Cricetulus griseus: one gene and its partner. The protein of the gene in region 1 purifies or fractionates together with the protein of each later gene. This does not show direct contact. Links are inferred from orthologs where the notes say so. Each region holds a gene or a part of one and is shown on either strand. Other genes may lie near its edges. The genes, in order: Pkmyt1 and Cks2.

Region 1 (4,404 bases):
ACCTAGGGCTTCACCCATGTTAGGCAAGAAATGTGCCATTCAGCTGACAGCCTAGCCATTTCACTCCCATCCCCATTTCCTTTATGAGACAGGGTTCGAGTTGCAAAAACTCTGCCCCTCCTTGAGACAGGGTATCACTATGTAGCCCTGACTTGCCTGGAACTTCTGATATAGACCAGGGTGGCCTTAAACTCAGAGATCCTCCTGCCTCATTCTCACCAGATTCCCCAATGCAGGGATTTACACATCTGCAACACTCTGCCTAACTCATTTGTTTGATAGACTTTTGAGAAAGGGGTCTTGTTATAGTGCCCAACTAGCTTCCAATTTCTGAGTTCACATGATCTTTTTGCCTCAGCCACCTCTGTGCTTGAGGTATAGGCATGTACCACTGCATTGTTTTGTTGTTTTGTTTGTTTCAATCATTATGAATTAAACTTTGAGGAACAGACAGTTGGAAGGGGATGGGGCCTGTCCAGAAAAAAAAGGGCTGGCAGAAAGTAGCCCTAAAGCTGGGTGTTGGTGGCCTACGCCTTTAGTCCCAACACTTGGGAGGCAGAGGCAGGATGATCTCTGTGAGTTCGAGACCAGCCTGGTCTACAAGAGCTAGTTCCAGGACAGCCTTCAAAGCCACAGAGAAACCCTGTCTCAAAAAAACAAACAAAAACAAACAAAAAGCTGTACCTTTTCCCTTACCCATTATAATTTGCTGTCTTTAATTTTCTAATTATTTATATGTCTTCTGAAATAGTAGCTTTCCTTTACACAAACACTATTTGAAGAGAATTTTATTTAAAATACAAGCAGCATAGGCCCCTGGTTCATCTTTCTTCTCCAGAAGAAGCTTGGGCACAAGGAAGCTCCAGCTTCTTAGAAGAGGCGCTCGCCGTGGCTATCCTGCTGTGACGAGGATCGGCGTCCAAATGTATATAAGATTATGTGTAGCAGGGCACTTGACTTCCTGAGGAAACGCCACTTGGATGCAGGGCCCTGCCTGCCCCTTTTATGGACGCGAGAATTAAGGCAGCCCACAGAGGGCAGCGATTGTGGGAACCAAAATCTGGAGGCTGACAAAAGTCCTGGGGATCTTGAGGGAGTCAAGGAGCGATCCCAGCCGGCGTCCAGGATTAAGAATTTAGCTCCCGGGGCAGCAACACGCCCAGAAGGGTTGCGCCTGCGCAGTGAGGGCGCTCGGCTAGGCTTGGGGGTGGGGAGGCCTCGGTGCGCACGCAGGACGCGAGGCGGAGCCAATGCCGGGGCCCGACGAGCTGCGCCAGGGGGCGGGGCCACGGGCGATCCTGGGCGGGGCCTCGAGGCCGGTTTGGAATTTTTGGCGCGAGCTGGCTCCGCGCGCGTTCACGGGCCGTTCCCCTTCTGAGAGAGTGCTTCGTCCCGGTGTTCAGAGGCGCCGCTGCCGGGACCCCAGCCTGTCTGGCCTCTGTGAGGCCCTCAGCGGCCTCCGCCGACCCGGAACCTGGGACCTCGCTGCTGCGCCGCGCCCCGCCCCGCCCAGCCTCCGCAGGTGAGCCCACACCCGGGTGAGAGGAGGGCTCCGGGCCGCGCCGCTCTTCCGCCCGGCGCCTTGCCCCGCGCTCCTGCCGCGCTGCGCCCCGAGACGGCCCTCCGGCCTCCCCTCAGTGGCCGGTCGCCCTTCTGCAGCAGCCCCACCCCTCCCTGTTTGTCACGGGCCGACTGGCCCTCGGGTGACTCCGGGTCAGCGCTGTCGCCCACGCCCCGCCTACTCCCGCGGGCCGCTCTAGGTGACTGCCCGTCCCTCCCCACTGGAAGTCCTTTCCCCAGCACTACCTCTCTCTTACCTCATCTCTCTGGGAAGAGCCTCTTCCGGGTGGGTGACAGCGGGTCTACGCAATCGTCTCCCCTCGCCCACGGAGCGAATCCAGCAGCAGCAGCAGCAGCGCTGCTCGGGAGGATCTCAAAATCTAGCGCTAGACGGTGGTCAACAAATGTGTCCAGCCCAATGAGAGGGTGAGGCCCCTGGAAACGGGGAGGTCACCCTGACTGGTCAGTGGCTCAGGGCCACTCTGGACTCAGCCAGGACTCTACTGCCAACCCTTCTCATCCCATAAAGGCGGTTTGGCCAAGTCAGAGGTGTTAAAACATAAATGACTTTGAGAGGGGCCGGTCTTCCCGGCTGAAGACAGAAGGTGATGGCTTCCCCTGTGCTAGGCATGGGGACTATTTTTTTTAAGTATTTCTTTTTTTATGTATATTTTTGTCTGCATGTGTATCTGTGCACCATGTTCGTCGTGCCTGGTGCCCACATAAGCCAGAAAAGGGTGTCAGATCCCCTGAGCTGGAGTTACAGATGCTTGTGAGTCACTGTATGAATGTTGGGAATCAGAACTGGGTCCTCTGGAGGGGCAACAAGTGCTCTTAACCTCTGAGCCATCCCTCCCTTCCTTCAAGGCTGCATGTTTAACCAGCATGATCATGGATCCTGACAGTCTGGTTCCTCTAAGAACTATTTATTTATTTATTTATTTATTTGTGGTGGGGACCAAATACAGGGCCCTGACCATGCTAGCTAGGCCGTTAAGCCCAGGCCAGCTCTGGGATGGGATTCTTGAAGTAAATAGAGTTATAGCAAGAGAGCCTTCCAGCCAAGCCTCTTAATTTAAGTCCCTAACCTCACTAGGCTAATCATTCTCCAAGTAATTTGATCTAGCCACTACCCTCAACGAGGTGTGGGAAATTTTGATACATTGTGTTTTCCCCTAAAATTGCTTTCAACTTGTTTTTTGTTTCAAGGATAACATTGTAGCAACCTGATGCTCCTCTTTTCCCAACAGGCACACAATTATTGACACGGTGGTACCACTGTGCTTGAGTCGTTTCAATTACTAACTAAAGCACCGGTTATGATCACAGTTTGCATTTATGCCAGACACCAGTCTTAAATCCTTCAGCTTTTTGTAGGTCAGTGCAGAATTGCAAGTTCACAAACTCGTCATGCCAGGTGTTCTTCATAATTCAAAATATCCCAGATTTAGGGCATGGGGGTTATATTAGTAAGTGTGTTGATATAGCTGTTACCTAACATGAATGATGCCCGGAGCTTCATTCCAAGCACTGCATAAACTGGGTATAATGGTACATGCTTGTGATCCTAGCACACTGGAGATGGTGGTAGAAGGACACAGTTATCCTTGGCTGCACAACAAGTTTGAAGCCTTTAGACCTTGTCTCGGAAAAACTAACTAACTAAATAAATAAATAAATTTAGAAAGCTACTATGGGCTCAGATTTAGAAAGCACAGATGTAGGGACAAGGATGTAGTTCTGGTAGAATGCTTGCCTAACATGTGTTAGGCCTTTGGTTTACTCCCTACTGCCATAAATAAATAATAGCTTTTAAAAAGGCATCATAAGAAAGCATATATTTGTAAGACCACTAGTGAGTCTGCAGCATCCAAGATCAAACACTAATATTTCTGTCAGTGAAAATCAGCTGTGGTGGTTCATGTCAGTAATCCCAGCACTTGCAAGACCGAGGCAGGAGGATTGCTACAAATTCAAGGTCAGTCTGGGCTTCATAGACTTTTTCTCAAAACAAAATAAAATTATAAATACACACACTGAGTGAGAATAGATAGTCAATTTTTTTTTCCTAAATTTTTCATGAAGCTACCCAGTTGTCTCTATTATTTCTTGAAAAGACTTCTTTCCTTTTGGGTTGTTTGGCACTAACTTTGAAAATAATTCCAGCTCTCTGGAGAGTGAGGCAGGAAGTTGTTCAAAGCTAGCTTGGACTACATGATGAGTCCCTGTCTTGGAAAACAAACAAACAAACAAACAAAAACACAAGACAAGGGGGGAAATTTTTCTTTTGAGACAGGGTCACTCTATGTAGCTCTGGCTATCCTGGAACTTGCTATGTAGAACAGGCTGGCTTCAAAATCACAGAGATCCTCTTGCCTCAGCCTCCTGAGTGCTGGGGCTAAAGATGAGTAACACTCTGCCCAACTTCAAAGAAAAATGATTAAACCATAAATTTTGGAATTCTTAATTCTATCCCCTTCATTTTTTTATGAATGAATTGTTTCAATTAACTGTGGATTTGAAGAAACTTTGAAAATCTGGAAGTATAAGTCTTCCAAATTTAGTCCTATATGAGAGTTTGACTTTGGTGGGGTAGGGGGTTTGAACATCCACATGAATTATAGAATCAGCTCTTTCTAGGCTGTTCTCTGAACTCACAGCGATCCACCTGCCTCTGCCTCCCAGAGTGCTGGGATTAAATGTGTATGCCACCACCGACCGGCATGCTCATTGTTTTCTGTAATGAAGCCAGATGGGATTCTGACAGGGATTGTACTGAATCTGCAGACCAATTTGGAGAGGTTGAACAGGGGTTTGTTTTCTGTGTTAGAAAAAGGCTGAGCT
Region 2 (3,521 bases), on another chromosome or scaffold:
ATGAGGCTTACAATTAGGGTTTTAGAAAGAGATACTTTGTGATAATTAAACGCTCTATTCAGGTAAGAGTACGGATTTGTTTGTACATATATTTGTTAAAAATTGTATGTATTTGTTTTGGCCCTGAATCAAGGCCAGCAGTTTGCTGGAGCTGTTGGTTTCAAGCAGGAGCCTAAAGAAATGTCTTCCTATGGTCTGTTGGCCATTTCAGAAATTTGGAAATCTAATGGTCAATTCATTAGAAAGAAACAAACTGACTGGATGTTGTATGCAGTTCTGTAATTGTAGTACTAGGGAGCCTGAGTTGAAAACAAGGAATTTGAGGCCAACCTGCTCAACAGGAAGGAGAATGCCCCTCCCCATGAAACAGCTGAGTCATTGGTGATAGATGTGGTGGCTGATAAGTCTTAATAATATTCCAAATATAATACTTCTGCATATACAAGAACTTGCATATACAAGAACTTGTATCTACTGCAGATCTAGTATTTGTGTAACAGAAAACACGTTAACTGTCCGTTCTTCCCACTCCTTTAGTAATCCCAGTTTGGGGTGACTACTTATCCTGGGACTAGGATCCTTTCTTACTCTTTCCTATGTAACTATTATAATTGCCTCTGGCTTTAGCTGCTGTTCTAGCTATCTAGATACCATCAGTCTGTATCCAACAGAAGATGTGGCTACGTTTTTAACTTTGGTGTAATCTTTCTCTTAGAGTATGATTCTCAGTATTTTCTGCCTATATTTTGTGGACCAAGGGTTGTTTCATGACCAAAAGTAGCTGTAGAAGAGGGTGACCGTATTCCTGGAAGATTACTCAAAGGGAAATATTCTGTTAGAAAGTTAACCCTAAAGAATAAAGTGCCTTTCATTTCTGTGCAGCTTACTCTATTGGTCTAATACTTGAACATAAGCCCTCAAAAGCCACAGTATAGTTTATAGGGAATACCCAAGATTGATGCAAATAGTACTGTAATCTAGAGTTGCTTTAAAGAAATCAGCTTGTTTTGAGGACAAACCCTTCAAAATTATAAGTGTCTCAAAGGTACGAATATAAAGTGATAATGGTGGAAAGACATAGCACTAATCTGTGGCTGAATCTTTGACAGGCATGTCATGCTACCCAGAGAACTTTCCAAACAAGTACCAAAAACTCATCTGATGTCTGAAGAGGAGTGGAGGAGACTTGGTGTCCAACAGAGTCTAGGTTGGGTTCATTACATGATTCATGAGCCAGGTAAGCTTTGCTATAAAGTACTAAGTAAATACAGTTGTTAAGAGTCAACTTTTTAAAAACACAAGTATTCGGTGTTAACTAAAAGTAACTGAGAAGCTCAACTAGTTTTGTAAATGAATGATTCCTTACTCCTGAATAATGTTCTGTTTTCTATAGTAATATATAAGAATGACAGTAATACATTATCTACTTGTAAAAGTGACTTAACCAATTTATTCAGCATAAAACAATTGTTTAAATTCTGTGCCTATATAGAAATTGATGCAATTAGATGTGATTTTTTTCTTCCTTTAGCTCTTTTAGAGAATTATTTACCATATTAAGGTCAAATGAGATAGGCATATAAACACAAATTCTCCTGTATCATACATGTCTCTTATGCTAGTATATGGTATCGACCAACATTTTCTAGATATTAAGTAGTAAACTAGACTAAAGCTTTGTGGTGTTTAAGTTCTAGCTTAGAACTATAGATTACTAACTAATGGTGGGCACAAAATTTGAAGACATACTACAAAAACAGATAAAATTAAAGCTCTTTTTGTATTTGTAAAGATAAACAATATTGTTAAACTCTTGAGTCTGTGTTAAAACTTTGAAGGGACTATGACAGATACTTAAGAGTTCGAAGATCCTACTACAAAAAATGGAGGAACTTAACTATAGATTCCCAGCCTTCCTCACACTGAATTGGGAGGTACTGTACGGACTCCTGGTTTAGTTATCTTTATCTTTTTGTATTGAAGCTTCCTACAGAGTCCAAACTTGACTGGAACTCTCCATCCTTAGCTAAGTGTGGGGATTATAGGAATACAGCACAATTCCTTGCTTTCTGGTGGCTTGTTTTGTGTGCTGAGATTGGACCTTTGTACTTTCTAGGCAAACACACCACCATATATACTATATACAGCTATTCTATGCCATATGTGTGTGTCCAACTTTGTGGTGATTTTTTTCTGAAGTGCATTGGCATGATTTTTTTCTGAAGTGCAGTAGCTAGCTAGCTACTTTGAATGAGACTCCCTTTTGCCAAAGAGATAACATTTCTCTTTTCACTGGAAATGAGGTTTTACAGGTAGAAACCATTCTCTCCAGAGTAAGCTAAAGACTTAAAATAGTGGAGAAATGCTATTATGAGATAGTTTGCCTATGTTTAGTGTTTATTATTAATTTTAAAACACTTTAAACAGTGACTGGTTGTTGGCATGAAACTTAATGATGAATATTTCCTTTCCACAGAGCCGCATATTCTTCTCTTTAGACGACCTCTTCCAAAAGAACAACAAAAATGAAGTGCAGCTGGGATCGCTTAATCTTTTTCAAATTTAATGTATATGTGTATATAAGGTAGTATTCAGTGAATACTTGAAAACTGTACAAATCTTTCATCCATACCTGTGCATGAGCTGTATTCTTCACAGCAACAGAGCTCAGTTAATGCAACTGCAAGTAGGTTATTTTAAGTTGTTCGAGATAAATTTCCTTGTAGTTTTTTCTTAATATAAGTAGTGCCTGTTTTACTTTACCTGTTACTTTTGTTAATAAAGTTTGTATGTTGCATTTATCACTATTGTAGAAATTAATTGACTTGACTCAATAATCTTACCCCTGAAAGAAATAAACATACTTGAAAAAGAAATACTAAGGTACAAATGATGGGATTATTGGGGATATTTAACCTAGAGTCAAAATAGACTTTCACTTTATTGATATTCTAACCCTACTTAATACTTACTACTTGTTTGTGTCCACAATGTCTCCAAAACACTAGTGGTTTCAGAGAAAACTGTTTTATTAAGAAGCACTGAAAGCTGGGTGGTGCCTTTAATCCCAACACTCAGAGGCAGAGAGGCGGGTCTCTGGAGTTTGAGGCCAGCCTGGTCTACAAAGTTCCAGGACAGGCCCAAAGCTACAGAGAAACCCTGTCTTGAAAAACCAAAAAAGGAAAAATAAGCACGGAAACACCATATGTATGCATTTGGACTGTCTTTGTCGGCCAGGAAATTAAGTGTAGACACATTAGTGGATTACCATGAGAAATGTATGCATGAATGGCCAGGAACATAAGACCCTGAATAGGCCGGGCAGTGGTGATACACACCTTGAATCTCATCGAGGCAGAGGCAGGCGAATCTATTGTTCAAGGCCAGTCTGGTCTTGAAAGAGTTGAGTTCCAAGATAGCCAGGGCTACATAGAGAAACCCTGTCTTGACCATCCCCCCCCCCAAAAGAAAAGCCCCCGATTAGATTAACAAGGGTGACTTCACACATAGTAAACACCCAT

Evidence for each region.
Region 2: the proteins of Pkmyt1 (region 1) and Cks2 purify together in Homo sapiens (affinity purification with mass spectrometry; 3 studies listed by BioGRID and IntAct, counting the BioPlex papers as one, with this or other methods). This does not show direct contact. The link is inferred for Cricetulus griseus from reciprocal best matches to the Homo sapiens genes PKMYT1 and CKS2.

Annotation. Positions count from the first base shown.
Region 1 is NC_048600.1:43,243,984-43,248,387, forward strand, and holds the start of Pkmyt1 (membrane-associated tyrosine- and threonine-specific cdc2-inhibitory kinase), read left to right. Parts: upstream 1-1,295; 5' UTR 1,296-1,522; intron 1,523-1,605; exon of another isoform or gene 1,606-2,165; intron 2,166-4,404. UniProt on the Homo sapiens protein: Acts as a negative regulator of entry into mitosis (G2 to M transition) by phosphorylation of the CDK1 kinase specifically when CDK1 is complexed to cyclins. Mediates phosphorylation of CDK1 predominantly on 'Thr-14'. Also involved in Golgi fragmentation.
Region 2 is NC_048596.1:270,595,793-270,599,313, forward strand, and holds the end of Cks2 (cyclin-dependent kinases regulatory subunit 2), read left to right. Parts: intron 1-117; exon of another isoform or gene 118-254; intron 255-1,109; coding exon 1,110-1,237; intron 1,238-2,476; coding exon 2,477-2,529; 3' UTR 2,530-2,802; downstream 2,803-3,521. UniProt on the Homo sapiens protein: Binds to the catalytic subunit of the cyclin dependent kinases and is essential for their biological function.